5 linked regions of the Sus scrofa genome follow. The protein of the gene in region 5 purifies or fractionates together with the protein of the main gene of each other region. This does not show direct contact. Links are inferred from orthologs where the notes say so. Each region holds a gene or a part of one and is shown on either strand. Other genes may lie near its edges. The genes, in order: CUL1, CCDC8, CUL7, CCT2 and FBXW8.

Region 1 (6,434 bases), on a different chromosome or scaffold from region 5:
TTAATGCCTGGGGTGCTGCAGGAACAATTACAATAAAGTGTTCATTCTCACCCGGTTTAAGTGCAGTGACTGTTTCTGTAGCCAAATCCCAAGTGGTCAAACACTGGGAATAAGGTGGAATTATTCCAGATTTAGTCATTCAAAAAAAACTAAGGTACCCAGGGTGAAGTTCTATGATACTTTGGGGATGCAAAAATAAATAAGCAGTATCTCCTTTCAAGAAATTCAGTCAGAGGGAGTTCCTGTTGTGGCGCAGTGCAAACGAATCCAACTAGTGTCCATAAGGATGCGGGTTCAATCCCTGCCCTTGCTCAGTGGGTTAAGGGATCCATCCAACATTGCGATGAGCTTTGGTGTAGGTTGCAGATGCGGATCAGATCCCATGTTGCTGTGGCTGTTGTGTAGGCTGGTAGCTGCAGCTCTGATTCAATCTCTAGCCTGGGAACTTCCATATGCCTCTCATGAGGCCCTAAAAAGGAAAAGAGAAAAATAAGAAAAAAGAAAAAGAAATTCAGTCTAAGAAGAATGAGAAATAAGGTTGTATTGACAACCAGACTAATTATCTCTAGAAGGTAATATTCAGTGAGAGGCAAAGGCACAGGAGGTGCTGTAATACCTAAAGAAACTGCAGAATCAGCTGGGGCATTCACTGACTGGTAATTCTCCTCTGTGATGGGCGACCTTAGGAAAGGGAGATGGACATGCCTCCAAGGACCTGAGCCTGTGGCTCTGAGAGAGATTACAAACTGGTCAAATATCCTAGTAGTCCATCTAAAAGTTTTTTTCTTCCTTCTTTTTGGTAAAATAAGTTTTTTAAAAGATTGAGTCCAATGACCAAAAAAAAAAAAAAAAAAACCAAAACACACACAAAAAAAGGTAATATTTTTAGACAGTACTTCAGCCACCCCTCTCTAGCTTAATGAGCACTCTCCAAAAACCTCCAAAAATGGGCATAATAGAGTTAAAGTGAGCCAGTCTTGTGTTTGCATGCTTCGGAATTTGAAATACAACTATTACAACTTATCATGGAAAGCAACAAATAGAACTTTCAAGTAAAATGTTTCCTAACATCCAAGAACCCTTTTGGATCAAAAAAGTGTCTTGAATAATTTGAAAAATGTGAAAAGTGACTGATTTTGCTTTTTAAACAACATTCCCTGTTCTGCTACACAATCCACAAACGCTCCAGGATATCAGAATATCAGGTAGACAGGGCGACCACAAAAATGAGGTGTTAAACTTACAAGTGCACACGTTCTGGGGAATGTCAAGATGTTTTAGGTCTTAGCAGCTGGGAGCTTAAAAGTAAAAGCAAATTGAGTTCCCTTCTGTCACTCAAAAGTTCATTTCAAAACTGCGTGACCCCTGACTCCATTCCTAACTCTGTTTTAATGTCACCACAATTACACAGAGCAAATAAATGCTTGAGTATAAGTTAACTGCAATTCCCCATTTGCACCCTCACCACTAACCCCAACTACCAATTAAAAGCAACAAGGATCCACTCGGAAAAGAGGATCCAATTTGGGGCAGAGCTCGCTGAAGGGAGAAAACCCTGAACTTTGCGGATTAGTCTCCAGGAATGTTCACAAAGCGTTTCTCCTGAAACCATCACTTGGCCCGCTGCAGGCCACCTCCTGCGCGGGGCAGGGGGAGCAAGCGGGGCGCACAGGGCCACCCTCCGCAAGGGTTACCTGCGGGGTCAGCGCGCGCTCCCGCCGGGCGCAGGGCCGGGGGCGCGCCGACGCGGCGGCGCAGGCCCGGCCCCACTCGCGGGCGCTTGGCTGGCGCCGGGGGGCTCGGTCCCGTTCGGCCGCTGCACTCGCATCCCTGCCACCTTCCTGGCCCGCTCTCCCAAGAGAACGGGGCAAAAGGGCGACTGTTACCCAATAATAGCGCCCTGCACAGTCGCAACAATGCGGGCAGGGAACCCAAGAGTCGCGGGCAGGGAACCGGAAAGCAGAGAGCCCGGCTCCGCCGCCGCTCCTGCGCGCGAGCCCAGTACTTACTTGAGAGCACGCGCTGGGGGGGAAGCGACGCTCGGGAGAGAAGTGATCCCGAGGGGCGAGGAAGAGACCGCACGGGTCCCCGGTGCCCCGCGGGGGTCGCCGCCCGAGAGCCGAGACGCGCGCGCCCGACCGCCCGGGGCCGCTCGCCGCCGGGCTCCGCAGCCCGAGCCCAATAGCGATGGGAATGGGTCGGGCGCCACCAGGCCGCCGCCTCGGGCGCGATGAATCGGGCTTTTTTCCCAGTGCGTAGTCCGGGCCTGGTCGCCCTGAGCCCACGTCCGGTGCCGCGGCCCGGCCAGGCCCGAGCCGACCCGGGTGACTCAGGGCCGGGCCGCGCTCGCTCACCTCCCGCCCCCGGCGCCCTCTGCCCACGAGTCCCCCGGCTCCGCCGCCATACCTCCCGGCCGCGGCTCGGCCTCTCAGGCCTCGCCCGCCTCCTGCGCTCGGCTGCCGCGGCCCCAGTCACTGCGACACCGCGGCTCGGGGCCCGGCCTGCGCCCGCCGCCGCCACCTACCCCCTCGGCGCCGGACCCCCGACACTCACCCGTATTTCCCGGGTGCCTAAGTGGCTCCGGCTACGTTTCCACCTGGTCGCTGGGCCGGGCCCCGGTTAAATCCCCGTCCCGCCAAGGTCTGGCCGCGTCCCTCAGCCGCCGGGGCTGCCCCGCCTGGAGCTGCGTGCGACACGGCTCCCGCCTCCTCCTCCTCCCCTGCTCGCCCGCCGGCCCTCCTCCTCCTCCTCCTCCTCCTCCTCCCGCCGCCGCCGCCGCCGCCGCCGCCGCCTGCACCACGCAACCTCCGCCCTCTCGCCTTTCCTCCGCCGCTCCCCGCCCTCCCGGCCTCACCGGCTCCGGCTCCCGCGGGCGTGAAGCTGGTGGGGGAGGGCCGGAACGCACCGCCATCGCGTCCGGGGCGGGGGAGCCGGGAAACCGTCGCCGCCATCTCCCCACCAGCCCGCGGCACGGGAGGGGCCCGGAAACCTCCCGCCCGCCGTGGCCCTGGCCCCAGGGCCCCCGACGCCGCTGAGGCCCCGCTCGCCTGGCTGGTCCCTACCTGAAGCCCGCGGTCCTTGGCTCTGAAACCCCACGCCATCCCCGGCCGAGCGCACCGGATCCGCCTCCAGGTTTTACAGCCTCCCTCGCCTTCGGGCCGCCTCTAAGGACCCGGCTTCCCGCCACTTCGGGCCGAACGAGGAGGGGTCACCTTCTGAGGTTGGGGGCGCCAGCCTAGGAAGAAGCCGCCCCAAAACTCCCTGGAGGAGAGGGTCTCACACACCCCCTCCTGCGCGCACACTCACCCTGAACCCTGAACCGACACGGAACACAACGACACCCGGTGGATCTGCCTCCCCAGCCGGGGGAATAACCAAAAGCCAGATCCCGACCGGCTGATGAAGTCGAGGATGGGCGAGGGGCCCTTGAAAAGAAAAACGTGTGGTCCATTCTCAGCCCCAAGACACCTGCGGGCCTCGGCACCAGAGCCCCGGCTCCCCGGCGCCTCTCTAAAATCGTTTCTGAAATCAAACCAATCCAGCTTTCCTCCACAAACTCTTTAACCAACTCCTTTTTAGGCAAAGGGCTGATAAAGATTCGCTTTACCATTAATCTCTGTAAAGACAAATCAAGAATGGAATTTAAGCTTTTCCATATATGTGGATGCGATGAGGCGTGACTGCAGAATAACATTGTTTTCACGTGAGTCCTGGAGTAGTTCACCGCAGTCAAGTGAAATTAACTCACAATTGGGTCCTTGAACTGCACATTTTTGCAGCACAAATAGCCACCTGGCTTCCTATGATGACCTAGGTGACAAAAGGCGGGCTTGGAGGGGCTTCTGCTGGAATGATGTGGTTTACATACCAGAGGGCCCACGACTTCCATGAACAAGCAAGGAAGAATTTCAAATTACCTGGGCAAAAAACTTGATGAACATAACTTCCTGTTTTGCTCCAAATGAAAACAGGAGAAGATTTTAGTATCACCGTGGGGTGGAAATCCTAGGCCCAGAGTAGAGGGCTGCCCCCATAATCTACGCTGTCTCCTGAGGAATACAGGTTTCTCTTAGAATATCCCATAGTATTTGTTTCCTTCTATTGAAATGTGGTCACTTGTCAACATTTGTTAAGTACCTTTAGAAGTAAGGCATTGGTCTGTACTTGTCACTAAAGTATATGATCTCAATCTATGCAATGATTTTTAAATTGTTGGTTTACATCCTACACTTCTAGATATTTAAAAGAAACAGGTGTAGGAGGAGTTCCCATTTTAGCGCAGTGATTAATGAATCCGACTAGGAACCATGAGGTTGCGGGTTTGATCCCTGGCCTTGCTCAGTGGGTTAAGGATCTGGCGTTGCCATGAGCTGTGGTGTAGGTCACAAATGTGGCTCAGATCCCGCATTGCTGTGGCTCTGGCGTAGGCCAGTGTCTACAGCTCGGATTAGACCCCTAGGCTGGGAACCTCAGTATGCCATGGGAAGTGGCCCTGGAAAAGACCAAAAAAGAAGAAGAAACAGGTGTATTTTGCAATTTTTTTGTGGGCACATGGTAAAATTGAAGGTAGAAATGGAAGGCTTGTCCCTGTGGACAGTGCTTTCCACTGTATATATATGGCTTCTCTTACTTGTTCCCCATAATGGAACCTGTATTTTCCTCAAACAACAAGGTATCTCATCTCCATCTTCCCTAAACTGTCCTCTCCCTTCTCACCATTCAACATGGTCTTCTTGTCTGTGCCTTCCCATAGCTAATACAAGAACGGAGTGGGTCAGCTTTCCCTTTACTGTTTGTTTCTTTCAACCTCTCCCCCCCCTTTTTTTTTCCAGCCGCACCCATGGCATATAGAAGTTCCTGGGCCAGGGATAGAACTAGAGCCACAGTAGTGACCACACCAGATCCTTAACCTGCTGTGCCACAAGAGAACCCTACTGAATTACTACCTCACTTTTCCCTGAATGGAAGGATTTAGTTCACCTATAACCATCCTCTCCAATTCTCACTGCCTTAATTCCTGCTTCTTCCTTCTAGCTTTTACTCGCCACTCATCTGCACTGTTACTGACAGCTCTTAGACTATGTCATTCATTGACTTTTATGTCCACCTCACAACCAGGTAGCATCTATACCACTTCTCAGACATATCAGGCAATTTGCTCCAAATCATTAAGCTTGATGAGGGGCGTAACCTAAGCCAGTAACTCCCAAGTATGTGCAGATCCACTCCTTTATTATGTTTCCCACACCTGTATTGTTTTTACCTTTATTTTTTTTAATTTTAAATTTTTGTCTTTTTTGTCTTTTCTAGGGCCACACCTGCGGCATATGGAGATTCCAATCGGAGCTGTTGCTACTGGCCTATACCAGAGCCACAGCAACTCGGGGTCGGAGCCCAATCTGTGATCTACACCACAGCTTACGTCAACACCAGATCCTTAACCCATTAAGCAAGGCCAGGGATCGAACCCACAACCTCATGGTTCCTAGTCAGACTCGTTAACCACTGCGCCACAACGGGAACTCCTGTTTTTACCTTTAAATAGTTTGCCTGGTTCTGATCTCTGCTCTATCCTTCCAGCCTGCACAGTGACTAACCACTGATGATTCTTTCCAAATGATGCTATCCTTTCAAACTTTTCAGTGGCTCCCCACTGTTTACTTATTTACTTATTTATTTTTGTCTTTTTTATAACTGTACCCGCGGCATATGGAAGTTCCTAGGCTAGAGGTCGAATTAGAGTTACAACTGCTGGCCTATGCCACAGCCACAGCAACGCAGGATCCGAGCCACAGGTGCAACCTATACCACAGCTCATGGCAACACTGGATCCTTAACCCAATGATCGAGGCCAGGGATCGAACCTGTATCCTCATGGATACTAGTTGGATTACACACTGCTGAGCCACAATGGGAGGGAACTCTGGCTCCCCACTGTTTAGAGGGTTCAGTCCAAACTCTGACCTGGCACTTAAGGCACATAATCCTGTCCTAACTTTTCCAATGTGTTTCCAGCCAGTTGGCAAAAGGAACTCTCAACTTCATTCCATCCTGTTGATTCTACTGTTGGTCCACAAATATCAGCCTTGAATCACCATTTATGAATGCTTGCTTCCATTTTTTCCTTCAACAAATAGAAAGTCTCTCCCCTTTTCCTACATCTGCAAATCATCCTCCTTTTTCATATCCAGCTCACATCCACTTCCAGGAAAGCCTCCTTTGCACCTTCTACGCAGGCTTTCATGATCTCTGATTGCTAACTTCTTACAAGTGCCTTTAAGCTAAGTGGTCTGTGCCTTGGTCAGACACTACTTCCTGATGTTCCCCAGGCCCCTCCAGCATTGTGCCTGAAGGACACTGCAGAGGATTCAAAAATAATTGTTTATTAATCAGATTTGAAAGGGTCATGTGTCACTTCATGAGCCATATGTGGT
Region 2 (6,359 bases), on a different chromosome or scaffold from region 5:
CGTTTCCCTAGTGATTCTTCTGTACCTGGGAACCACGATGGGACAACGCATGTAAATGGCAAGCCCTGGACCCATCAAGTGTAGGGATGGCAGGCAAAGTGAGGTGAACACGGTCACCATCATGGAGGTGGGAATGAAGGGGACACAGGGCATGACAAAACCACCCTGGAGCATTCTTCAGTTGCTGGGCCCAGAGGCAGGAAATAAGTTTGTAAACATGTTTATTTGCATATTGACCTGTGCCTTCTTTTTAAGTTCAAGGAGGCAGTCAATGTAAGTGTTCAGGCAAGATGGTGAAGAAAAAAGGGGAAGGGGAAGGAATTTCTCCCCTGCCTCCCTTTTCAAGTGGAGCACCTAGAGTTGCACTTGAGGAAGTTAAAATCTTGGGAGATGCAACCCCGTTCTATAGGTTTCTTTACATTCTTTGAGTTGCTATGAAGAGTCTGTATTTTTTTTTTTCTTTTTTAAGGGCTGCACCCGCGGTATATGGAGGTTCCCAGGTGAGGGGTCTAATTGGAGCTACAGCTGCCAGCCTACGCCACAGCCACAGCAATGCCAGATCTAAGCCGCGTCTGCACCACATCTCACTGCAACACCAGATCCCCAACCCAATGTTCGAGGCCAGGGATCAAACCTGCAACCTCATGGTTCCTAATTGGATCGTTTCTGCTGCTGCATGATGCGAGCTCCCTAGTCTGTATTTTTTTTTTTTTAAATCAATGCATGAAAGATACAATTTTAGCAAGAAAAAAGAGGGGTGTTAGGCGGAGATTAGAGGGGCACTGCCAGGCCCTTGATTTATCTCCATTTTCAAGTGTGGGGACAGATTATAGCATCTCTGCCCAAGTGCAGGGGAGTCAGGGACACACCCTGGCTGGCCAATACTGTGACAGGTGGCAGGGTCCTCTGTGACCCCCCCTGCCCTTGCCTCACAGCTGATCTTCTTGCTCTTCATGTTCTGCTTCTGCTCTGGCCTCAGGCCTCAGGACCCTGAGGCTCCTGGCCTCGCCTGCCCTGGGGACTCTCTTGGGCAGGGTGGGCAACCTGGGGGTGTGCCAGAAGGCTCTCCGGCGCTTTCGAAACCACGAAAAGCGGCCGGGGGTCTGGAACCTCACTGTCTTGACCGGTTTCCGGGTCCTGGCTCCTGGGGTTGCCCCTGTGGCTCTCCAAGCAGCTGAGGATTCAGCTTCCTGGACAGCCAGGGCCTCTGCCCTCTGACTACATGCAGCTTCTGCCCTCTGGTCAGGAATGGCCTCTGCCCTCTGGACAGCTGGCGCCTCTGCCCCCTGGACAGCTAGGGCCTCTGCCCTCTGATTATCTGCAGCCTCTACTCTCTGGACAGTTGGGTCCTCTGCCCCCTGAGCAGCAGGGGCCTCAGCCCTCTGATTATCCACAGCTTCTGCCCCCTGGAGAGCTATGGCCTCTGCCCCCGGGACCACTACTACCTCTGCCCTCTGATCATCTGCAGCCTCTGTTCTCTGAGCTCTAGTTGGGGCTTCCTCCCTCCTGCGACGACGGAAGGAGGCCCAATTGATTTTGGGTCTCCACCGACTTGGGGGATTCTCAGGCACCCGCCCATCTCCTGCATTTCCCCTGTCCTCCCCGAGGCTTGAGCTGCCTGGCACCGATGCGCCATCCCTCTCCACCCTGGTAGAGGCCTGCCGGGCCTCACCCACCCCTGGGCTGGACCTCGGTGCCCAGCCCTTCACCCTCCGCTTCAGCTTCCCCCAGGACACCTGGCTGACATATTCCCGCCATCTATCAGCCTTGGACAGCTGGGGTCCCGGATTGTCCTCAAACATGGGCACTGGCAGGGTCACACGGCGGCGGGCCGGCGGGGCACTGGGCTTCTTCTCTCCTCGCCGCAGGAAGGCCTCAACCAGTTCCTCGTCATCCTCGCTCTCCAGGTCGCTCCCAAGGAATTTGCTGCCCAGGTAACTGACAGGCATTTTGCGCAGCCTCCTTCCACGCCCCGTGCCTTTGTGGTCCTTGTCATCCTTGTCTCTGGAGGTTTCAAAGTCGCTGAACTCGCTGTCACTGGCATTGCTGCTGTCATAAGTACCCACGACCAGCCGAGGAGGTGGCGTCACCATCTGCGGGACTCTCCTCCTCGATCCGGGCTCCTTGGGCTTTTTAGGGGGCTGGGGCGGGTGGGGGGTGCTCTTCTCGATGATGCGGGCCACATCCTCCAGGGTGCGGCCTTCTTCCTCCAGAAACTGGATCAGCCGCTCCCGAAATTCCGCCTCCTTGGTGGCGGGCTTGGAGATAACCCTCCAGACGCCTCCCGCCAGCCTGACCTCGCGGGGGATGAGCAAATAGTCTACGTCCTCGCCGATCTGCAGCATCCCCACCGTGGAGTCCTCCTCGCGGCGGAACACCTTGCCGATCTTCTTGAATGTCCCCACCGGCTTCAAGGCTTCCACGAGGACGTCCAAATCCACATCTTTGCAGATGTCGGGGACGCTCCAGAGGATCAGGCAATCAGGGGAAGGGAGGAAGCCCCAGGGGAACCAGCCCCCCACGTGGCTTTTCTCGAGGGTCTTTAAGATCTCCAGGGTGAAATCTAAAGTGCGGGCAAGGAGCCCAAACTACTCGCAGCGCCGAGTCTTGGGGTGGGGATGCGGTCCCAAGAGCGCGGCCGGGAATCTCACCTCCCAGTTTCTCTGCCCGCAACAAGTCGGGTCGTGATCCAGTTCGCTCCCCTCAAGGACTGGTGGGAATCGATTCAGGGTGCTTACGTGAGTCGGAGTCTCAAGGTTCCAAGCCCGCCGCAAGCTGTAAATGGGTGTCCCGGCTCCAACTCAGTGTAAGGACTGCTGGTGGCTCTTCCTGTGCCAGGCACAGGGGACGTCCCTGGAACTTGGGAAAGGACTTTGCAGACAAAGACGGCTCAGCTGTGGCTGTTCAATATGGCCGAGGCTCTTGGAGGCCGCAGCCAGCTCCCCAGGAGGGTCTCCCGCCCCTAGGCAGGCTGCCACCTCGGTCCAGGCTGACCTTGACGCGCCTCCGCCCCCAGCCTGCGCGCCCAGGGCCGGCGAGTGCGCGCGCGGGCAGGAAGTTCCTCCTCGCCTTCCCCCTGGATGAGGCCCACCTTCTCCCTGCTCGGCTTACACTCCCGGACTCGGGGAAGACTGACAGGGGGGCTGTCCACTCCCCTTGGGGCGCCCTCGCCGCCCTCCCCCCCAGGGGTGTGGCTGCGCCCCGGGCCTCTCAGGGGCCCCGGCTTCCAAGCCAAAGGCCTGCGGTGCCGACGCCCACGTCAGCAGCTTTCTCTGAGAAAGGCAGCAGTTCCCGAAACTACCGTCCCAAAAGTGCGGGTTCCAGCCCAGCCCTGAAGGTGGGCGCGCTCATCATCGGGCAATCCCTTGGAAAGCCACTGACAGTATAGTACCATCTTAAAATTAAGTGACTTTGGGTACCGGCAGTTCCTAGCCATATACCCAGACATGTGGGTGAAGAACCTGGTATCAAGGTCTTATTGCAGCTCATCATGGGGCTTGGCACAGAGTAGGTGCTCAAGAAATATTTTTGAGTGAATGAATGCACCTAATTGTTCACCGGTAGGGACTAACGGTGAAATACTAGGCCGTTATGAAAAAGAGAAGTGACTGAGAATAAACACATTTTAGGGAGCACTTCCTACGTACGAAGGACCATGCTAAGTGCTTTTTATAAATTAACTCATAAAATTCACACAAAAACATCAGGATACAGATAATACGATGCTCATTCCCATTGTACAGCTGAGGAAATAAAATCAATCTCTTGCTCAAGGTCACATGGCCAGGAAGAAGACTGAACCTGGATTTGATTCTGAAACAGTCTAATGTGTGTGTAGACCAAAGGGCCTAGGTGTATACATACATTTGTCATGTGTAGAAGCACTGCCAACAGTGGCTATATCTGGGGACCCCGGAGGTGGCTTTTCACTTTTCACATGACTTTTCACTCTATCATTTTGGAGTGCTTCAATTTTTAACAATCAAAAATGTTAACTGAAATAAGTTAAATTAAATTGAAGGACCTCAGATACCTCAAAAATGTTAATTGAAATAAGTTAAATTAAAGGGTCAGGATTCGCAAAGCTTCTTGGGTAACTGTGAGGCAACCACATGCACAGCAACAACTGCCTTAGTAATAATAACGGTTAACCTGCATGGATGCTTTCTTTGAAACCAGGCATCCTGAGTGGGCCTGTTATGAATCTGCAGAGCTACACCGAAAGGTGAATGCCTTCACTATCATCTCCTTACAGCTGGGGACACTGAGGCTGGTCCCCGATTGCACAGTTCGAAGTGGAGAGCCAGATATTTGAACCAGATCCCAGACGTTAGAACTAACTCCAGGCTCTGAAGATACAGCTGATCTGCGTCCTCCTGAGAGTGCTAGGCTGTTTGACCCCTTAAAAGCCATCGCATGTCCAGCTGCCCTCAATGCTTGCCTGGATCCATACAAATCCCTCCTCGTGGGGCTCCCTGCTTCCTTCTCACTGCCTATAATCAATCCACCCCCAACCTAGCAACTTAAGCCAGATCTGTCTCTCCTCTAATTTTTTTTTTTTTTTTTTTTTTTTTTTTGTCTTTTTGCTATTTCTTGTGCCGCTCCTGCGGCATATGGAAGTTCCCCGGCTAGGGGTCGAATCGGAGCTGTAGCTGCCAGCCTACGCCAGAGCCACAGCAACTCGGGATCCGAGCCGCGTCTGCAACCTACACCACAGCTCACGGCAACGCCGGAACCCCGACCCACTGAGCAAGGGCAGGGATCGAACCCGCAACCTCATGGTTCCTAGCCGGATTCGTTAACCACTGCGCCACGACGGGAACTCCTCTCCTCTAATTTTAAAGTCCTCGCCATCACCCACAAAGTCCCACTTCCCGCTCTCTTTCTCTCTTCCTCACTCCACTCCAGCCACACCTGCCTCCTCATTGGTCATCCAATAAATCGGGCTTACCTCCACCTTCAGGTCCTTTGCATCACTGGTCCCAACACCCAGAAAGTTCTGCCCCTACCTTCTCTTGGCAATCTCCCTCTGCTCAAATGTCATCTTTTTTTGTTGTTGGCCGTGCAGAAGGTCTCAGGCTAGGGATCTAGCCCATGCCACAGCAGTGACAATACTGGATCCTTAAGCACTAGGCGCTAGGGTGTTGCAAAAGGTTATCACTTCAGAGGTCATACTGCACCCTCCCCAAATTACTGAGCAGTCTCTACCCTCTTGAGGACCCTTTAGCTTAGGAATTCTTAACCTTTTCCATGTCAAGGACCCTTTTCAGGATAGTTTTGCAATGCATGGTATTGTATTATTGGATTACAAAGGAGACCAATTTTAATGTATGCAAATGTTAAAAAAAAATTCCCCAAACACCAAAAAACCCGGGTAAACTAGTGACTCTAATATAAGGTATAAAAATAAACACATATGGAGTTCCCGTCGTGGCGCAGTGGTTAACGAATCCGACTAGGAACCATGAGGTTGCGGGTTCGGTCCCTGCCCTTGCTCAGTGGGTTAATGATCCGGCGTTGCCGTGAGCTGTGGTGTAGGTTGCAGACGCGGCTCGGATCCCGAGTTGCTGTGGCTCTGGCGTAGGCTGGTGGCTACAGCTCCAATTCGACCCCTAGCCTGGGAACCTCCATATGCCGCGGGAGCGGCCCAAGAAATAGCAACAACAACAACAACAACAAATAAAATAAAATAAACACATATAATTTCGTTTAACTCACAGCATGTGATTTCACTTAACTCGTGAAGGAACTGGGCAGATGTTCGGGGTAAGCGGGAAGAGAGAGAGGGAAAGAAGAAAGAAAGATACTTGGCAGGCAGAGGACGGCTAAGGTCTCAGGGAAATTTTTGTACAATTATTGGCTCATTTGGATTGTTTTTGCTTTTACAGAGCCAGGTCTTTAGGCTTTGCTGTATTTTCTCCTCAAAAAGTCCATCCCAACTGCCCCCGGGCTCAGTCCCCGCCCCCCAACCGCGCCCCGCCCTTTTTTGCACAGCTTCTAGCCCCGCCTCCCAGCGGTCTCCATGGCGACGAGGAGACGCGCTCCCTCGCTAGAGGCTGCTCTGAGAGGGTGGGCGGGGCAGGGCAGCGCCTCTTCTCCGCTTCTTTTCCCATCTCTAGGCCTGATTTCCTCGTCAGTTTCTCTGAAAAGCTGTTTTGTAGGGGCCCGAAACTAAAAATTTCTAAATGTTGACTTAAGAATCCAGCCCTGAGAAGTCAAGGCTTCCACGTGGGAATGACCTCGCAGATGAGACACTGGGTTTTGTAACTGGTAAAAGTTGCGTATGTGGCGGAGGCGGGGTGGGGTGGGGTGGTGGAGATTATCCTAGAAATAAAAGCCCAAATGTTCAACATTTTTGC
Region 3 (5,644 bases), on a different chromosome or scaffold from region 5:
CCTCCATCCTTCCCTCACACCTTCCAGGCTGTGACTGCCACCCCTTCCCGCTGGCCCGTAGGCTCCAGTGTGGAGGTGAAGGAGGACAAGTGCTGGGAGAAGGTGGAGGTGTCCTCCAACCCTCACCGGGCCGGCAAACTGACCGACCGCAACCCCAAGACCTACTGGGAGTCCAACGGCAGCACCGGCTCCCACCACATCACCTTGCACATGCGCCAGGGCGTCCTCGTCAGGTAACACGCTCCTTGCCTGTGCGTAGCCAAATTGCCGTGCTTTCTTGTGACTTCCCTACTGTTTGTCTTGGGGAAGCACCTCACCTCCCTGAACGGGATCAAAGAGTCCCCTTGGCTGTGTCCACGAGGACAGAACTGGATTGGGTTCTTTTTTTTTTTTTTTTTTTGACTTTTTAGAGCCCACCCACAGCATATGGAGGTTCTCAGGGGTCGAACCGGAGCTGTGACTGTGGACTTACCTCGCAGCCATAGCAACCGGGGATCCAAGCTTTGTCTGTAATCTACACCACAGCTCATGGCAATGCCGGATTCTTAACCCACTGAGTGAGGCCAGGGATTTGAACCCACAACCTCATGGTTCCTAGTCAGATTCTTTTCTGCTGCACCATGACGGGAACTCTTGGATCAGGTTCTGATTGGTTCCTCTCCTCTGCTCGCAGGCAGCTGGCTCTGCTGGTGGCTGGCGAAGACTCGAGTTACATGCCCGCCAGGGTGGTGGTTTTTGGGGGCGACAGCACCACCTCTCTTAACACAGAACTCAACTCGGTAGGGAGCTCCCCTCCTGCCCAGACCCCTAAATGCCTATATTCCTCCTTTTCTTGAGCCCCATAGATCAAGTCCAGCCTTGGGCCCATGTGACAGCATCAGGCCCTGAGCAGTGAAGGTGGCGTCAGGACCCTTTCATCAGGAGGCCTCACACCCCAGGGCTGGTGCTTTCAGCACTCCATCCTTACATGTGGCGGTAACAGCACTCTCTGCTCCCCCAGGTCAATGTAATGCCCTCCGCCAGACGGGTGGTCCTCCTGGAGAACCTGAACCGCTTCTGGCCCATCATCCAGATCCGCATAAAGCGCTGCCAGCAGGTGGGGCCAGGGCATGGTGGGGGTGGCCCCTGGGCGCTGGGCCCTACCCCCAGGAACTGTTGCAGATCTTGGGCCAGCGCTCCAGCCCTTCCTAAGGCCCCACTGTGGGGCTGGTGGAAATGGACCTGTGTGTGTTGCAGGGTGGCATCGACACACGCATTCGGGGGTTGGAAGTCCTGGGCCCCAAGCCCACATTCTGGCCTGTGTTCTGGGAGCTGCTGTGTCACCACACACGCCTCTTCTACATGGTTCGGGCCCAGACTTGGAGCCAGGACATAGCGGAGGACCGCAGGAGCCTCCTGCACCTGAGCTCCAGGTGTGTGTGAGTGGGTGTGTGCCTGTGTGTGAGAGAGATAAGAGCATTACAGAGGGCTGCCGGGGGGCTCCTGTGACGGGTGACCATGCTTGGGAGGGGGCCGGAATGTTCTGTAGTTGGAGGAAGGAAAGAAAGGACAAGAAGGAGAGGTTTCTGTGGTGGCTGGGAATGGGGGTGCCAAGGAATCGAGGGGGTTGTGACATCCTGAGGGGGGAGTTTGGCTGGTTTTAGGGAAGCTGGCGATCTTAGGTTGGGGGGACACGGGGTAGGTCACTTAAGCCTCCAGCCCCCCACACCTTACTCCCCATCCTCCTCCCCAGACTCAACGGGGCTCTTCGCCACGAGCAGAATTTTGCCAATCGCTTCCTCCCTGACAACGAGGCGGCCCAAGCCCTGGGCAAGAGCTGCTGGGAGGCCCTGGTCAGCCCCCTGGTGCAGAACGTCACCTCCCCCGGTAACTGCCCCGCCCCGCACTAGCCTCTCGCGTGGCCCTGCTCACCGGCCCCTTCTTGCTCTACTCTAGAGCCACCTGGGAAATGCTCTTGGCCTTTTTGGTACCCACGTTCGTTTGGTATCCATGTGTTCCCCTTCTCACAGCCCAGGGGCTGCCTCCTTTCCCCTGTCTTCCACGTGCCAGCTGCCACCACAAGGTCAAGGGGGTCCTTGCAACCTTCCTTACCGTATGGTTCTGTCCCGTTGCCCTTTCTCTGCACTCCTGTCCAGCCCAGCTTCCCTGCTGGCCTGCAGACGCGCTCTGCCTTGGCTTGTTTTCCCCCACCCCCAGATGAGGATGGCATCAGCCCCATGGGCTGGCTGCTGGACCAGTACCTGGAGAGCCGGGATGCTGCCTACAACCCCCAGAGTCGCGCGGCTGCTTTCTCCTCACGGGTGCGCCGCCTCACCAACCTGCTGGTGCACGTGGAGCCCTGCGAGGCGTCCCCCAGTGAGTGCTGGGGATTCAGGCGGGAGCTTGGGTGCTTGGTCCCCACCACCCTGCATGCTGCAGGTGTCTGTTCTTCTCTCCCTCCCCTCCCTCAGCCTGTTTATCTTCCTGTCTGTGACCCCCTACCCGGGACCATCACGTTGGGCAGGAGCATGAGGAAAGGCCCCCAGGCTCACCCTTGAGTGGGGACCAAGGAACTGCGGGGCTCCCCACTGCCGCCGCCTCTGCCCCTTCCCCTGTCTCCACAGAGGGCAGAAACAGAAGCCATGACTGGAGCTCTCTGGCCACCCAGGGGCTTCCCAGCAGCATCATGAGAAACCTGACCCGTTGCTGGCAGGCCTTTGTGGAGGAGAAGGTGGGAGGAGTGGGCCGGGGTGGTGCGGCGGTGGGGGGCAGACCAAGACTGTGGCCCCTTCACGCTGCCACCCCTTCCTTCCTTCCCTCCAGGTGAACAGCTTTCTGACCTCACGCTGGCAGGATGATGACTTTGTGCCCCGCTACTGCGACCACTTTCACAATCTGCAGAAGTCGAGCTCCGAGCTGTTTGGGCCACGGGCGGCCTTCTTGCTGGCGCTGCAGAACGGCTGTGCCGGGGCCCTGCTGAGGCTCCCTTTCCTCAAAGCTGCCCACGTGAGCCACCTGCCCTCCCTTCCCCCCCGCCGGGGCCTCTCGCTTCCCCACCGCCTCAGAATGGCCCACCTTCCACTCCCACTTCACGAGGAGCACTCCTGCTATAGAAACCTGTTATCAAAAACTCCAAAAACCGTGGCCACTTTGTGCCGTCCTAACTTAGCTCGGCATGCTTTCTTCTACTTGTGTGCTTGATTTCACGTAGCTTACCCGTGAGTAGCTAAAATGCCTTATCCTGTTTTCTTTTTGACTGCAACTTCCCCATGTGGAACTTCTGGGGCCAGCGATGGAACCTGCACCACAGCAGTGACCCAAGTCACCACAAAATGCCAGATTCTTAACCCCTCCTTCCTGTTTTCTTTTGACCCTTACACTAAAAGCAACATTTTCCTGGTTGCTATTTGTCCTCATTTAAAAACTTTTGCATAAATTGCCATCTAATGGATATACTATAATTACTCCACCATTCCCATTATCCCACAATTTTTTTTTTTTTTTTTTTTTTTTTTTTGCTTTTTAGGGCCGAGCCTGAGGCATATGGAAGTTCCCAGGCCAGGGGTTGAATCAGAGCTGCAGCTGCCAGCCTACACCATAGCCACAGCAACTCGGTATCCAAGCCGCGTCTTTGACCTACACCACAGCTTGCAGCAATCCTGGATCCTTAGCCCACTGAGCGATGCCAGGGATGGAACCCGTGTCTTTATGGATACTAGTCAGATTCATTTCCGCTGCGCCACAACAGGAACCCCATCCCACGAATATTTAATAAGCACTTTAAAATGTGTCAGGGATGGAGTTCCTGTCATGGCACAGCAGAAACAAATCCGACAGGAAACCATGAGGTTGTGGGTTCAATCCCTGGCCTCGCTCGGTGGGCTAAGGATCTGGTGTTGCCGTGAGCTGTGGTGTAGTTTGCAGACTCGGCTCAGATCTGGCATTGCTGTGTCTAGTGTAGGCCAGCAACTGCATGTCTGATTAGACCTCTAGCCTGGGAACCTCCATATGCTGCAGGAGCAGCCCTAGAAAAAGCAAAAATAAAAAGTGTCAGGGGGGTTCCCATCATGGCTCAGCAGAAACAAATCTAACTATTATCCATGAGGACACAGGTTCAATCAATCCCTGGCTTCGCTCAGTTGGGTTAAGGATCCAACTTTGCCTTGAGCTGTGGTGTAGGTCGCAGATGTGGTTCGGATCCTGTGTTGCTGTGGCTGTGGTGTAGGCCGGCAGCTGCAGCTCCGATTGGACCTCTAGCCTGGAAACTTCCTCTAGCTCTAAAAAGCCCCAAAATAAAAAATAAAATAAAATGTGTCAAGCACGGTTATAGAGCTGTAGGTGAAGTCCCTTCCCTCAAAGTTGTCTTCTGGAGAAGATGCACAGTTAAGCAAATGACAGACTAAAATGTGAGAAGCACCTTGGTAAGCAGAGGGCAGCGCAGTGGGAGCAGGAGGCTCGGCTGCAACAACGCCATGTGACCATCCTGGCACAGAACTTACAGGTGTACCTCATTATATTGCCCCTTGCTTTTTACTCTGCTTCGTAGATAATGTATTTTTTAACTTTTTTTTTTTTTTTTTTTTTTTTTTTTGCTTTTTAGGGTCACACCTGTCACATATGGAAGTCCCGGGCCAGAGGTTGAGCCTCTTGGGATTTGAGCCCTGTCTGCGATCTACACCACAGCTCATGCCGGATCTATAACCCACTGAGCGCGGCCAGGGATTGAACCTGCATCCTCATGGATACTAGTCAGGTTGTTTCCGCTGAGCCACAACAGGAACTCCTTAACCTATTGAAGGTTTGTGGCAATCCTGCATTGTTAGGTGATGGTCAGCACTTTTTTTAGCAATAATGTATTTTTTTTTTTCTTTTTGCCATTTCTAGAGCCGCTCCTGCGGTCTATGGAGGTTCCCAGGCTAGGGGTCTAATCAGTAGCTGCCAGCCTACACCAGAGCCACAGCAACTCGGGATCCGAGCCGAGCCGGGTTTGCGACCTACACCACAGCTCACGGCAACGCCGGATCCTTACCCCATTGAGCAAGGCCAGGGATCAAACCCGCAACCTCATGGTTCCTAGTCAGATTCATTAACCACTGAGCCACAACGGGAATTCCAGCAATAATGTATTGTTTAGTTAAGGTATGTACATTGTTTTTTAGACATAATGCTATGTATACTTAATAGACTACCAGAAAATGTAAGCATACTTTTATATGCACTCAGAAACCAGAAAACATGTGTGACTTTATTGTGAGCCTGGAGCCAAACGAGCAAAATCTCCGAGGTGTGCTTCTGTCTCTTCATGCTCAGTTAAACTTTGGATGTGCTGAATGTGAGAAAACATTTTTCAGTATTGTTCTCATTGTCAATGCGCACAGCTGTTAATGATTTCAGTTTTAGAAAATCGTTGAGCAGGAATTCCCGTCGTGGCTCAGCCGAGAGTGAACCTGGACTAGCACCCATTAGGACGAAGGTTCGATCCCTGGCCTTGCTCAGTGGGTTAAGGATCTGGCGTTGCTGTGAGCTGAGGTGTAGGTGGCAGATGCAGTTCAGATCCCGAGTTGCCGTGGCTGTGGCTGTGGCGTAGGCTGGCAGCTTCAGCTCCGATTCGACTTCTAGCCTGGGAACCTCCACATGCTGAAGGTGCAGCCCTAAGAAGACAAAA
Region 4 (6,192 bases), on a different chromosome or scaffold from region 5:
AAGAGGATTATACAGCTAGTGGAACTGTAAATTAATAAATTTTTTTCTGGAGGATTACTTGTAAATAACTATGCCTTTAAATACATACATACCTTTGGACCCAGAAATTGTATATTCTTTAAAAAATAGTAAGTTCATAACATTATAAAGCTAAAAATTATCAAAATACAAATCTCCAATTACAGATAGGTAAATTACAGCAAAGTTCATCATCAAATGCATACTTCTACTGAAATACTACAGAGATACTGACACCCAGAAACATGCTTGTTATTCAACTAAGTTAAAGAGGCTAAGAAAACCCTCTAGATGAGGATACTATTTATTTTGCTTATTGTGATTATATATGCAAAAAAACTGGAAATCCAAACTTTAACTTTAGTAGTGACTACCTCTGGGTAGTCACTCTGGGGGTAGTATGGGTTTTTTGGTTGTTAAGGCAGGCCTTTAAGAAACAGGATCATGTTGGTGTATGCTTTTCACTGTTCCCTAGACTTCCTGCCTTGAGAAAATTTTGAAAAGAACAGTAAATGTTTGAAACAATAGTTATTTTGGTATACCAACCCATGGTCAACTGCAGAATTCAACAGAGCCTGTCTTGCTGCCTTGGTGGCTTCTCTCCAACCAGCAATAATGGTCTGTGGATGAATCTTTTTTGCAATTAAAGATTCTGCTTCCTGTTAATAAACAGTGGAAAAGGTGCATCAACAGTAAATTTGTGGGAAAAGACTTCCGATACTCAAAACCATAGTAATTAAAAACCCCAGTAAGACTGAAGTTGCTCATTTAGTCTTACCCTTAGTAATTCAGCTGCAAGAACAGTAACAGAGGTAGTGCCATCGCCAACTTCATCATCTTGAACCCTTGACATGTCTAGGAAAAAAAAAATGCTACTTATTAACCCACTTATATTTGATTCTGCTTTTTAAATTTTATCTCAGTAGCTTACCTAATTCTCTAAACAACCCATTACCAATCTAAATCTCACCTAAATTTCCTCACCTGAAAAATTCTTTGGAACTTTTCAGTCTGAAATTCAATAATTTTACTATCAGTAAGTACATGGCACTCCAGAGACTTGTATTTTAATAATGATAATAATCAATTAAAGGTCAAACATGACTTAATAAAAAAGACAGTCAAAATAGCCTATTTAAAATTGTTTCAGAAGCTCCCCATCTTGGCTCAGTGGAAACGAATCTGACTAGGAACCATGAGGTTGCGGGTTCAATCCCTGGCCTTGCTCAGTGGGTTAAGGATCTGGCCTTGCCATGAGCTGTGGGGGAGGTCACAGACACAGCTTGGATCTGGCATTTCTATGGCTCTGGCACAGGCCGGTGGCTACAGTACCAATTTGACCCCTAGCCTGGGAACCACCATATGCCATGGGTGCAGCCCTGAAAAGCATAAAATAACTAAATAAAAATGAAAATAAAATTGCTTCAAAATGTTAATTAACAAAACATCAGACTCACCAACTAAAACTTTAGCAGCTGGATTGTCCACACCAATGTTTTTCAGAATAGTTGCACCATCATTGGTTACCATAAGAGAAGCATCTCGTCCACTGCTTAATAGAATTTTATCCTAAAAGGAACATATTTGGTTTAAGTTAATATAGAAGCACATCTGGAATTCCCTGATGGCACAATGGATTAAGGATCCAGCATCATCACTGATGTGGCAACAGTTCGATTCCCAGCCTGGGAACTTCTGCTTGCCTTGGTTACGACCCCCTCCAAAAAAGATACGAACACATATGGAAGAACGAATAGGTCAATCCATACTCTCACACATTGCTAATGGGTAAATACTCTGGATGGTTATTTGGCAGCATCCATTCAAATTTTTTCATTGCATACATCCCCAAAATCAAAACCTGGCGTCTATCCCTAATACTAGAAGAACAGAGCCTGGAGTTTCCACTGTGCCTCGGCAGTAACAAACCTGACTAGTATCCATGAGGACTTGGGTTCAATATCTGTCCTCATTCAGCGGGTTAAGGATCCGGCAGTGCCGTGAGCTGTGGTATAGGTCGCAGATGAGGCTCGGATCCCATGTTGCTGTGGCTGTGGGGTAGGCTGGCAGTTACAGCTCTGATTTGACCCCTAGCCTGGGAACCTACATATGCTGTGGGTTCAGCCCTTAAAAACAAAAGAAGAGAGAGCTATGAACAAGGCTGTTTCTACAATGTAATAGCGAAGGCAACAGATGCAAACTATTTCTCACAACAAAGTAATAAATACAAACCATAAAATAAGCAACATGCAGAATACTATTTGGCAAAGAGGACGGGTACATTTACACCGAAAGGAATTTAAAAAAACCAAGTTACAGAAAAAGTACATACAAATATTATCTGTGAAGAGATAAAACAACGTTCTGTTACAATGACAATACATAAAAAACACCTAACACATAAGATACCCTTACCTCTACATAAGAACAAAGGCATTGATTATGTTTATGTCCAAAAGGACTGGGGAGGGGAGTGGCATTTGAGATGAAAGAGGACTTTAGTCACTGATTTTTAATAAGGAAAATACACACAAGTCTTTAAGTATAATCAACAATTAAATATTTAAAAGCGTCTTCAAAAAGCATGCTATTACATTTCTACAAAAAGTTCTAAAACAGTATTAAAAATCCCTATTTTTCTTACCATGCCCTTGGGTCCCAACGTGCTCTTTACCAAGTCTCCAATAGCGATGGCACCAATAAAAGAGGACTGGAGTAAAGATTAAAGAGATGATGAAAATCAACTTAAGAGTCTTAAATTGTGAAAAAACAAACAAAAAAACAAAAAACGAACATCCCCCTCCACTATTGTATCTTTTAAAGAATAAGAACGAGGCTTACCAGACGAGCTGTCTCTGCTCTCTCTTCATCAGCCCCAGCCTTGAAGATATTAACAGGTGCCAGGGAAAGGGACGCCTAAAAGGGACAAACAAGAATCAGTCTAAGTACCAGTACTCCTTAACACATATACTTGGATACCTTCCACTAGACTTACCAGTTGCTATCTAAGAGAAAATCAGTTTGCAGAATAGCGTCCTTTTTTAAACAAATGAAGCTCTTCATCACCGGGGCGGTATTTAAAGCGGAGGGAGGGACTAAAGTGACACTGCTGTTTAGAACCACAAATGCTCCAAAAATAAAAATTCTACGTCAGAGAGATTATCGGTGTACAGCAAGTTCAAAGATGATTTTAAAAATGAGGTGGCCGGGGTTGTAGCCCACTCGCGCGACGACCGCCAGGCGGACGAGGGAACACAGCGGCCCCGCTTCCAGCTTCGCCCTCCGGCCGCTCCAGGCTCCGCCCCGAGGGGGAGGGCGGGGTCCGCCTCGCCGACCCGCCCGGTGCACTAGAAATTTCTCTGCTTGGGGTGAAACGCGGCCCTTGAGGTTTGAGACTGCGGAGAGGCCGACTCCGAATAAGACGCTGGCCTTAAGGCCCACTCCTCCCTCGGGCCCGCACCGGGGGCCTCACACGCCGGCCCGGCGCAGGCCACACGCCGCGGCCTGCGCCATGTGCTGCGGCCCCGGGGGACAGACTCAGGGAGCCCGCGTCGTTGGGAACACAGAGATGGGCAGAGGGCGGCGCGGCACTGGGGGCCTTGGGCAGGGACTGCGGGACCAGACTCACCATGGTTCCGAGGAGTTCGGTACACACGCGCACCCCTCACAGCTCGCGATCCGGTCCAGAGGGAAAAGAGGCCGGAAGTGACGCCACACGCTCTCCCGCAGGGGGCGGAGCCCGGGCCGGCGCGCGGCTCCTTATGGGCGCCGCCCTGGGGGGAAGGGAAGGGGCAGCATTTCGAAGGGAGCCCCGCGGGTCGGAAACGCTGCCAGTCAAGCTCGAGGGGCGGGGCCTTGGCTGCCCTCTGCCCCTTGCGGAGCCACCTGCTCAGGACTAGGAAAGGAGGGTGTGACGTTTTGCTTGGGAACTAGCGGTTTGGAAGCAGAACGCCCCAAGATGGAAGAGACGCCTCGCCGCCCTTGGGGGTTGCCATAGCAACGGAGATTTCTCTTGCAAGTTTTAATTTTTTTTTTCTTTTTAGGGCTGCGCTGAGGCAAATGGAAGTTCCCAGGCTAGGGGTCTAATCGGAGCTATAGCTGCCGGCCTACACCGCAGCCACAGCAACGTGGGATCTGAGTGGAGTCTGCGGCCTACACCACAACTCACGGCAAAACTGGATCCTTAACCTACTGAGTGAGGCAGGAGATCGAACCTGCGTCCTCATGGATACTAGTCGGATTCTTTACCGCTGAGCCACCATGGGAACGCGGAGGGTTTTTTTCTTAAATTTAACCTTAAAAAATTTTTGCCTTGAGGTGCTACATATACACAATTTAAAGTGTTATAATATTTTACTGCTAGTTTAATTTTGAGCATTATTTTTTTTTAATTATTTTTTTTTTTTCCTGCTATTTCTTGGGCCGCTCCCACGGCATATGGAGATTCCCAGGCTAGGGGTCCAATCGGAGCCGCAGCCACCGGCCTACACCAGAGCCACAGCAACGAGGGATCCGAGCCGCGTCTGCAACCTACACCACAGCTCACGGCAACGCCGGATCGTTAACCCACCGAGCAAGGGCAGGGACCGAACCCGCAACCTCATGGTTCCTAGTCAGATTTGTTAACCACTGCGCCACGACGGGAACTCCAATTTTGAGCATTATTAATACAGAGGAACACAGATTTCTGTTTTGTTTGCTTCTGTTTTTTGTCTTTTTAGGGCCTCACTGGAGATATATGGAAGTTTCCAGGTCAGGGATTGAATCACAACTGTAGCCACCGGCCTACACAGCAGCCACAGCAATGCCAGATCCTTAACCCACTGAGTGAGGCCAGGGATGGAACCCGCATCCTCATGGATACTAGTCAGGTTCATTACCACTGACCCCCAACAGGAACTCCAAGAATTGCATTTCTTTTATTGAATTTTAGAACACTTTTTAATTGGACTGACCAGGACAAGGTCTTGTGAGCTCTGACAGAGACATTTACTTTGTCTTTGCCCTGCTTGCTCATTTTTAGGAGGGCTCACCACCACCAGCACCATCACTCACAGTTGTAGGGATGACCAACATCCTCTTAAGCTGTGGTAGAGAGCAAGATCAATCGTAAATATTTCTGTTTATTAAGAAGTTTTCTATTTTCCTTACGTTGACCCTCTAGGATGTTCAAAGTAGAATATTTGTGCTTAAAAAAAAAATCTATTTAGGAGTTCCCTCCGTGGCTCAGTAGTTAACAGACCCGACTAGGATCCGTGAGGATGTGGGTTCGATCCCAGGCCTCACTCAGTGGGTTAACGATCTGTCATTGCTGTGAGCTTTGGTGTAGGCCAGCAGCTGTAGCTCCGATTTGACCCCTCGCTTGGGAACTTCCATATGCCAAGGGTGCCACCCTAAAAAGCCAAAAAAAAAAAAAAAAAAAAAACTATTCACCTAGGGAGCACTTGGATTTTGGCAATTATTAACATTAATAGATTTTTCAATTATTGTTTCTACCCTTCAGATAAAATTCTAAAAAGGTTAATTTACTCCAGGGGTTGAAAAACCATGGGGAGCCAAATCCAACTCACCACCTGATTTTGTATGGCCAGAGAGTTAAAAATGATTTTCAGGAGTTCCCGTCGTGGCTCAGTGGTTAACGAATCTGACTAGGAACCATGGGGTTGCGGGTTCGATCCCTGGCCTTGCTCAGTGGGTTGATGATCTGGCGTTGTCGTGACCTGTGGTGTAGGTTGCGGACGCGGCTCGGATCCCGCGTTGCTGTGGCTCTGGCCTTAGGCCGGTGGCTACAGCTCTGATTCAACTCCTAGCCTGGGAACCTCCATATGCTGTGGGAGCAGCTCAAGAAACGGCAAAAAGACCAAAAAAAAAAAAAAAAAGATTTTCACATTTTGATCAAAAACAAAAACTTTTGTGATACATTAAAAATTACATGAAATTTATTTATTTATAATGATTTTTATTTTTTCCATTATAGCTCATTTACAGTGTTCTGTCAATTTTCTACTGTACAGCAAGGTGACTCAGTTTATTTATTTTTGCTTTTTTTTTCTTTTTGCCTTTTCTAGGGCCGCATTCACGGCATATGGAGGTTCCCAGGCTAGGGATCTAATCGGAGCTGTAGCTGCCCGCCTACAGCTAGAGCCACAGCAACACGGGATCTGAGTGGCGTCT
Region 5 (5,644 bases):
AGTGGAAACGAATCTGACTAGTATCCATGAGGATGCAGGTTCAATCCTTAGCCTTGCTCAATGGGCTAAGGATCCAGCATTGCTGTGAGCTGTGGTGTAAGTTGCAGAGGTGGCTCGGATCTGGTATTGCTGTGGCTGTAGCAGAGGCTGGTGGCTGCAGCTCCGATTTGAGCACTAGCCTGGGAACCTCCATATGCCACAGGTGTGGCCCTAAAAAAACAAGAGAGAGAAAGAGAGAGAGAGAGAGAGAGAGAAAGAAAGAGAAAAAGAGAGAAAGAGAGAAAGAGAGAAAGAGAGAAAGAAAGAAAGAAAGAAAGAAAGAAAGAATTAAACTAGGCTGGTATTAAATAGAACTATTACCTCACTACACTGAGAATTCAAGAAATAAATGAGATAACCAAAACTTGAAAGTATAATGGGTGAAAAATTAGAAAACAAATAAATAGTCTCTCTTCTCTCAACAAATGGAAAAGAAAGTGTTTTCAAAGGCTGAGAAAGGAAACTGCTTTAGGAAACCAATTGCTGTCCCTTCCCCCCACTTCCTGGGAAGACAAAACACAGGCGTTATATCATCATAGACTTTCCAGCTAAATTATGCTGAACATGCTCCAGCAGAGCAGGCCAACTTGAGCACAGAAGGAGTCCCTTCTCACAGTGAGATTACAATAAACTGCATGTATTTTTTTTTTTTGATTTTTTAGGGTCACACCTGCAGAATATGGAGGCTCCCAGGCTAGGGGTCGATTCGGAGCTGTAGCCGCTGGCCTATGCCACAGCTCACAGCAACACCAGATCCTTAACCCACTGAGCAAGGCCAGGGATCAAACCTGTGTCCTCACAGATGCTAGTCGGGTTCATTTCCACTGAGCCACAATGGGAACTCCAAACTACATGTATTTTCTATAGCTTTAGCTATCTTCTTGATTGAAGAATATATCATCAATATATCATCCTGGAATGCAGGACGCAAAACCAGTGAACACCTAGATAGGTGAGATTTGACCTTACAGATGACTATACATAGTGGAAACAAGATGTAAAAACCACAGCCACAGGCTAGACTCAAACTATGAGTGGCAGAAAGAACAGGAAGTAAACTTTCCAGTGCCAGGCACTATGCTTAAAGATTACACACATGTTCTCATTTAATCCAACAATTCTATGAAGTAGGTACTGTCATGAACTTCCTTTTACTAATGAGGAAACTTAGGGATAAAGAGGGTTAAGCAACCTGTTTGAGGTCACACAGGGCAGTGGGTGGTAGGGCTGGGACTGGAGCATGGTAAGCACCTACAGCCTGGCTCTTTTCCAGTTCATGATGCTGCTGTGTGGAAAAGGGCCTCCTTCCTTAGGAGAAAAGTTTGTTGTCAGAGGAGCCACTGGTTCCTTCTCAAGGATTATCTCCACTACCAGCAGGGTCAAGAGCCAGCAAATTGGAGAGAAATCAAAACAAAACTTTTCTCTCTCTCCCCTGATTCCATGGGAAGAGAAAGAGTTCTGTAAATCAGCAATAAGACTAAGTACTTAGACTATAGTCAGAATAGTAAAATACTAACTAGTGATAAAATTGAGTCATTATGGAAACAATTTGAATTAAAAACCTGTCTCCCTGTTTCTAGCTCAAAGAGTATCGGAGGCACTTTTACCCACTGTAGAGAGAATGTAAATTTTGACGCAACCTTTTTAGAGAGCTATTTGTCAATATTCATCAAACCTCTGACAAAGCAATATTAATTGCTAGAAATTTATTCTAGCGATTTACAAATTGCAACATGCGTTATAGCACTGTCTACAATAGCCCAAATGGTGAAAGCAACCTAAATGCTCACCAGTGAGGGGACTGGTTACACAGACTGTGGGTTGTAAGCATCACTGGAATCCTAAGGAGAGGGAACTAACATGGACTGCTTTCCAAGGTATATAACTGAATAAAAACACTGGGCACAGAACAGTATGTATAGCATGATCTCATCTAAACAAAGATAGGTTTTTAGTGCATAAATGTGCACATATGCACTAAAATTTTCTAGATGGATATCTAAAAACTGTTAATAGTTTCTTCTATGGAGTAGGACTTTGGGAAGGAAAGAGAAAGAAAAGAATAATCATTTTATATCATCCTGAATTACTTGACTTTTTTAAAACCTCACTGATATATATATATATATATATTGCCTGAACAGATCTTTTAAAAACATATCAGTGAACGGAAATCTCCTACACTGTTGGTGGGAATGTAAATTGGTACAACCACTGGGGAAAACAGTATGGAGGTTCCTTAAAAAACTAAAAATAGAGAAATAGAGTTGCTATATAATCCAGCAATCCTATTCCTGGGCATATATCTGGACAAAACTACAAAAAAAGATAATGCACCCCAATGTTCACAGCAGCACTAGTTATAATAGCCAAGACATGGAAACAACCTAAATGCCCACTGACAGAGCAATGGATAAAGAACATGTGGTACATACATACAAAGGAATATTACTCAGCCATAAAAAAGCATGGAATAGGAGTTCACACTGTGGCACAATGGGATCAGCAGTATCTCTGGAGTGCTGGGATGCAGGTTCAATCCCCAGCCTGGCATGGTGAGTTAAAGATCTGGTGTTGCCATGTAGGTCACAACTGTGGCTCAGATCTGATCCCTGGCCGGAGAACTCCATATGCCATGGGTAGGCCCCCCCACCCACTCAAAAAAAAGCATGAAATAATGCCACTTGCAACAATATGGATAGATCTAGAGATTATTATATTAAGTCAGAGAAAGAAAAATATCACATGAGATCACTTATATGTGGAATCTAATAAAAATGATACAAAAGAACTTATCTATAAAACAGAAACAGGAGTTTCCTGCTGTGGCACAATGAGTTAATAATTGAACTGCAGTGGCTCAGGTCACCACAAAGGCATGGGTTTAATACCCAACCCAGTGCAGTGGGTTAAAAGGATCTGGCATTGCTGCAGCTGCAGTGTGAGTTGGAAGTGTACCTCAGATTTGATCCCTGGCCCAGGAATTCCATATGCTACGGGACAGCCAAAAAAAGGAAAAAAAGTTTCTGGTGTTGTCTTAGCCACAGCACAGCTATGGGGTAGATTCTATCCCTGGCCCCAGAACTTTCATATGCTGCAGGTATGGCCATAAAAAATTAATAATAATATGGGAGTTCCCATCATGGCACAGTGGAAATGAATCTGATTAGGAACCATGAGGTTGCAGGTTCTATCCCTGGCCTCGCTCAGTGGGTCAACGATATGGTGTTGCTGTGAGCTGTGGTATAGGTCACAGACACGGCTCAGATCTGGCATTGCTGTGGCTGTGGCGTAGGCCAGTGGCTACAGCTCCAATTAGACCCTTAGCCTGGGAACCTCCATATGCCGCAGATGCGGCCCTAAAAAGACGAAAAGACAAAAAAAAATTAATAATAATAAAATAAAGTAAAACAAACTCACAGACTTTGAAATCAAACTTAGGGTTACCAAGGGGGAAATCATGGCAGGGGGAAGGATAAACTGGGATGATGGGATTAACACATACACACTATTATATAAAATAGATAACTAACAAGGACCTACTGTACAGCACAAGGAGGTCTACTCATTGTTCTGTAATAACCTAAATGGGAAAAAAAAGAATGGATATATGTATATGTAGAACTGATTCACTTTGCTGTAAATGTGAAGCTAACAACATTATAATCAACTATACCCTGATCAACTTAAATATATACAGATACACATACATATCAGTGAGCTTTAATTTTTAAATTGCCTTCTAAAACAGGAAATCTATGCTCTTTTTTGTTAATTGTATATCCTGCTATTTTTGTACCTTGTTTCCTTCATACAACCATGCCAGAAACTTCACTCCAAAAGCAGCCTGGTTGGCTGAGACATCTAGACATGTGACAGGATGGCCACGGCCGGAATAGAGGGTTCTGGCAGAGTCTTCAGCTTTTAGCAGGTATACCAGATCTTCAGCAGTGGCTACTGCCACAGGGTACCTTCCAGTATCTGGAACTATTTCAAGGCAGTCAACCTGTTAAAGGATGAGAATCATTTACTCCTTCAGGTCTCACCTACAATTCATCCTTGGTCCAAAATACACAATTCCTCCTACACATCAATGAGAGGACCAGCAATCCAAAAGAAAAAGACAGGCCAAGGGCTAGTTCACAGGAGGCAAAACATAGTACTTATACAAATGAAAAGATGCGCATCATAAAAGAAACACAATATACTCCTAATAAGAGAAATACATCACCTGTTATATTAGTAAAGATCAACTAGTCTGATCAGACAGTGGCTAGAAGTAGAGGGGGAACAACCATGTTTATGGATCCCACTTACAGTTGGTAGGATGTAAGCTGGTTCAACGTCTATGGAGGGAAATTCGAGAACAGTTATCACAACGCCAAAGGCACATATGTGCTAACCCAGGAAATCACTTCTAGGAATTTATTTACAAGTAAACTCACATTTATGCAAAATGACTGTGTACAATTTTATCTGCTGTAGGCACTGTTTGGCCATAGCTAAAAACTGGAAAACCCTGAAAATGCATTACTAAGGGACTAGTTAAATAACTTACAATACATCTATGTACCGGAGTACCATGAGGTCATAGGGAAAAAGGACAAAGACATTCTTTACAAACTCATACAAATGGGATCATTTCTAAGATAAATCTGGGGTGGGGGGTAGCAGGGAAGCAAAGTAACAAGATTCACAGTGTGCTAATGTGTGTAAAGGTGGGGAAGAGAAAGCCTATGATATACATGGCTTGTATGTGCATAAATCTAACAATGGCTGCCTTCGGGGAGGGAAATGAGTTGTGGGATGGAGTGGAAGGGAGATTCTCACTGTAAATCTTATTGTGCCTTTTAAATTATGGAACACGGGGCTATAATAACTATTCAAAAATAAAAGTTTTTATTTCTTCACAAGAATCTGAACAACACATTTCACTCAGTTCCAAATTAGCCAAAAGCACATTTTAATGTTTGTGCAAATACCAAAAATGTGTTGCTAAAAGGTTAGAAGTGTGAGTTAGCTGCTTTCTCCTGGATTCAATGTCATCCCAGGGTAGGAAGACCACTGCAAGCATTTTTATGCCACCTCAATGCTCCTGGCTGCATCACTGCTACCATTTTCTCTAATCTGCATGGGTATGGGGAGCTTCCTTTAAGAATAATTTGCTTTCCTATATTCATAAATGGCATGCTCCCTCTGAGTACAGTTTACATCAGTTTTCATCTCCCTGAGTAAATTCTGAGAGTACAAAAGTGGAAGGTGAACCACCTACATGATTATGAAAATCCACAGTGTAAAAGGACAGAGTTGCCCTGACAAGAAGCCAAATGAGTTCAAAAGGCCTGAATCCTGGGAACTGGCCCCAGGCACTTGAGGGAGTAAAACATCTGGGTGACTCTGCTAATCCTCAGGCCTGACAGTGTGAATGACGGCCCCACATTCCCAGCTGAGGGTCCATCACAAAGGACGGCTGTTCTAGCACAGTATAACAAACTGGGAACATAGCCATTGTGATGCAGGGAGCCTATCTGAGGAAGACAAAGATGGCCCAGCAATCCAGACCCGGGGAGGGGGGGTGTGCTTTATTCAAAGAAAGTGCATTCTA

Evidence for each region.
Region 1: the proteins of FBXW8 (region 5) and CUL1 purify together in Homo sapiens (affinity purification with western blotting; 9 studies listed by BioGRID and IntAct, with this or other methods). This does not show direct contact. The link is inferred for Sus scrofa from reciprocal best matches to the Homo sapiens genes FBXW8 and CUL1.
Region 2: the proteins of FBXW8 (region 5) and CCDC8 purify together in Homo sapiens (affinity purification with mass spectrometry; 3 studies listed by BioGRID and IntAct, with this or other methods). This does not show direct contact. The link is inferred for Sus scrofa from reciprocal best matches to the Homo sapiens genes FBXW8 and CCDC8.
Region 3: the proteins of FBXW8 (region 5) and CUL7 purify together in Homo sapiens (affinity purification with western blotting; 12 studies listed by BioGRID and IntAct, with this or other methods). This does not show direct contact. The link is inferred for Sus scrofa from reciprocal best matches to the Homo sapiens genes FBXW8 and CUL7.
Region 4: the proteins of FBXW8 (region 5) and CCT2 purify together in Homo sapiens (co-immunoprecipitation; 3 studies listed by BioGRID and IntAct, with this or other methods). This does not show direct contact. The link is inferred for Sus scrofa from reciprocal best matches to the Homo sapiens genes FBXW8 and CCT2.

What each region holds. Positions count from the first base shown.
Region 1 is NC_010451.4:109,554,931-109,561,364, forward strand, and holds the start of CUL1 (cullin-1), read right to left. Parts: upstream 4,185-6,434; 5' UTR 3,307-4,184; exon of another isoform or gene 3,063-3,306; intron 3,025-3,062; exon of another isoform or gene 2,855-3,024; intron 2,743-2,854; exon of another isoform or gene 2,554-2,742; intron 1-2,553. UniProt on the Homo sapiens protein: Core component of multiple cullin-RING-based SCF (SKP1-CUL1-F-box protein) E3 ubiquitin-protein ligase complexes, which mediate the ubiquitination of proteins involved in cell cycle progression, signal transduction and transcription.
Region 2 is NC_010448.4:52,472,103-52,478,461, reverse strand, and holds CCDC8 (coiled-coil domain-containing protein 8), read right to left. Parts: upstream 3,955-6,359; 5' UTR 2,346-3,954; coding exon 930-2,345; 3' UTR 205-929; downstream 1-204. UniProt on the Homo sapiens protein: Core component of the 3M complex, a complex required to regulate microtubule dynamics and genome integrity. It is unclear how the 3M complex regulates microtubules, it could act by controlling the level of a microtubule stabilizer.
Region 3 is NC_010449.5:38,101,137-38,106,780, reverse strand, and holds part of CUL7 (cullin-7), read left to right. Parts: intron 1-61; coding exon 62-233; intron 234-673; coding exon 674-779; intron 780-1,000; coding exon 1,001-1,096; intron 1,097-1,236; coding exon 1,237-1,412; intron 1,413-1,732; coding exon 1,733-1,866; intron 1,867-2,196; coding exon 2,197-2,355; intron 2,356-2,603; coding exon 2,604-2,710; intron 2,711-2,802; coding exon 2,803-2,985; intron 2,986-5,203; exon of another isoform or gene 5,204-5,305; intron 5,306-5,644. UniProt on the Homo sapiens protein: Core component of the 3M and Cul7-RING(FBXW8) complexes, which mediate the ubiquitination and subsequent proteasomal degradation of target proteins. Core component of the 3M complex, a complex required to regulate microtubule dynamics and genome integrity.
Region 4 is NC_010447.5:33,856,096-33,862,287, reverse strand, and holds the start of CCT2 (T-complex protein 1 subunit beta), read right to left. Parts: upstream 3,775-6,192; 5' UTR 3,650-3,774; coding exon 3,647-3,649; intron 2,935-3,646; coding exon 2,860-2,934; intron 2,729-2,859; coding exon 2,663-2,728; intron 1,588-2,662; coding exon 1,476-1,587; intron 874-1,475; coding exon 797-873; intron 678-796; coding exon 565-677; intron 1-564. UniProt on the Homo sapiens protein: Component of the chaperonin-containing T-complex (TRiC), a molecular chaperone complex that assists the folding of actin, tubulin and other proteins upon ATP hydrolysis.
Region 5 is NC_010456.5:35,480,291-35,485,934, forward strand, and holds part of FBXW8 (F-box/WD repeat-containing protein 8), read right to left. Parts: intron 4,046-5,644; coding exon 3,839-4,045; intron 1-3,838. UniProt on the Homo sapiens protein: Substrate-recognition component of the Cul7-RING(FBXW8) ubiquitin ligase complex, which mediates the ubiquitination and subsequent proteasomal degradation of target proteins.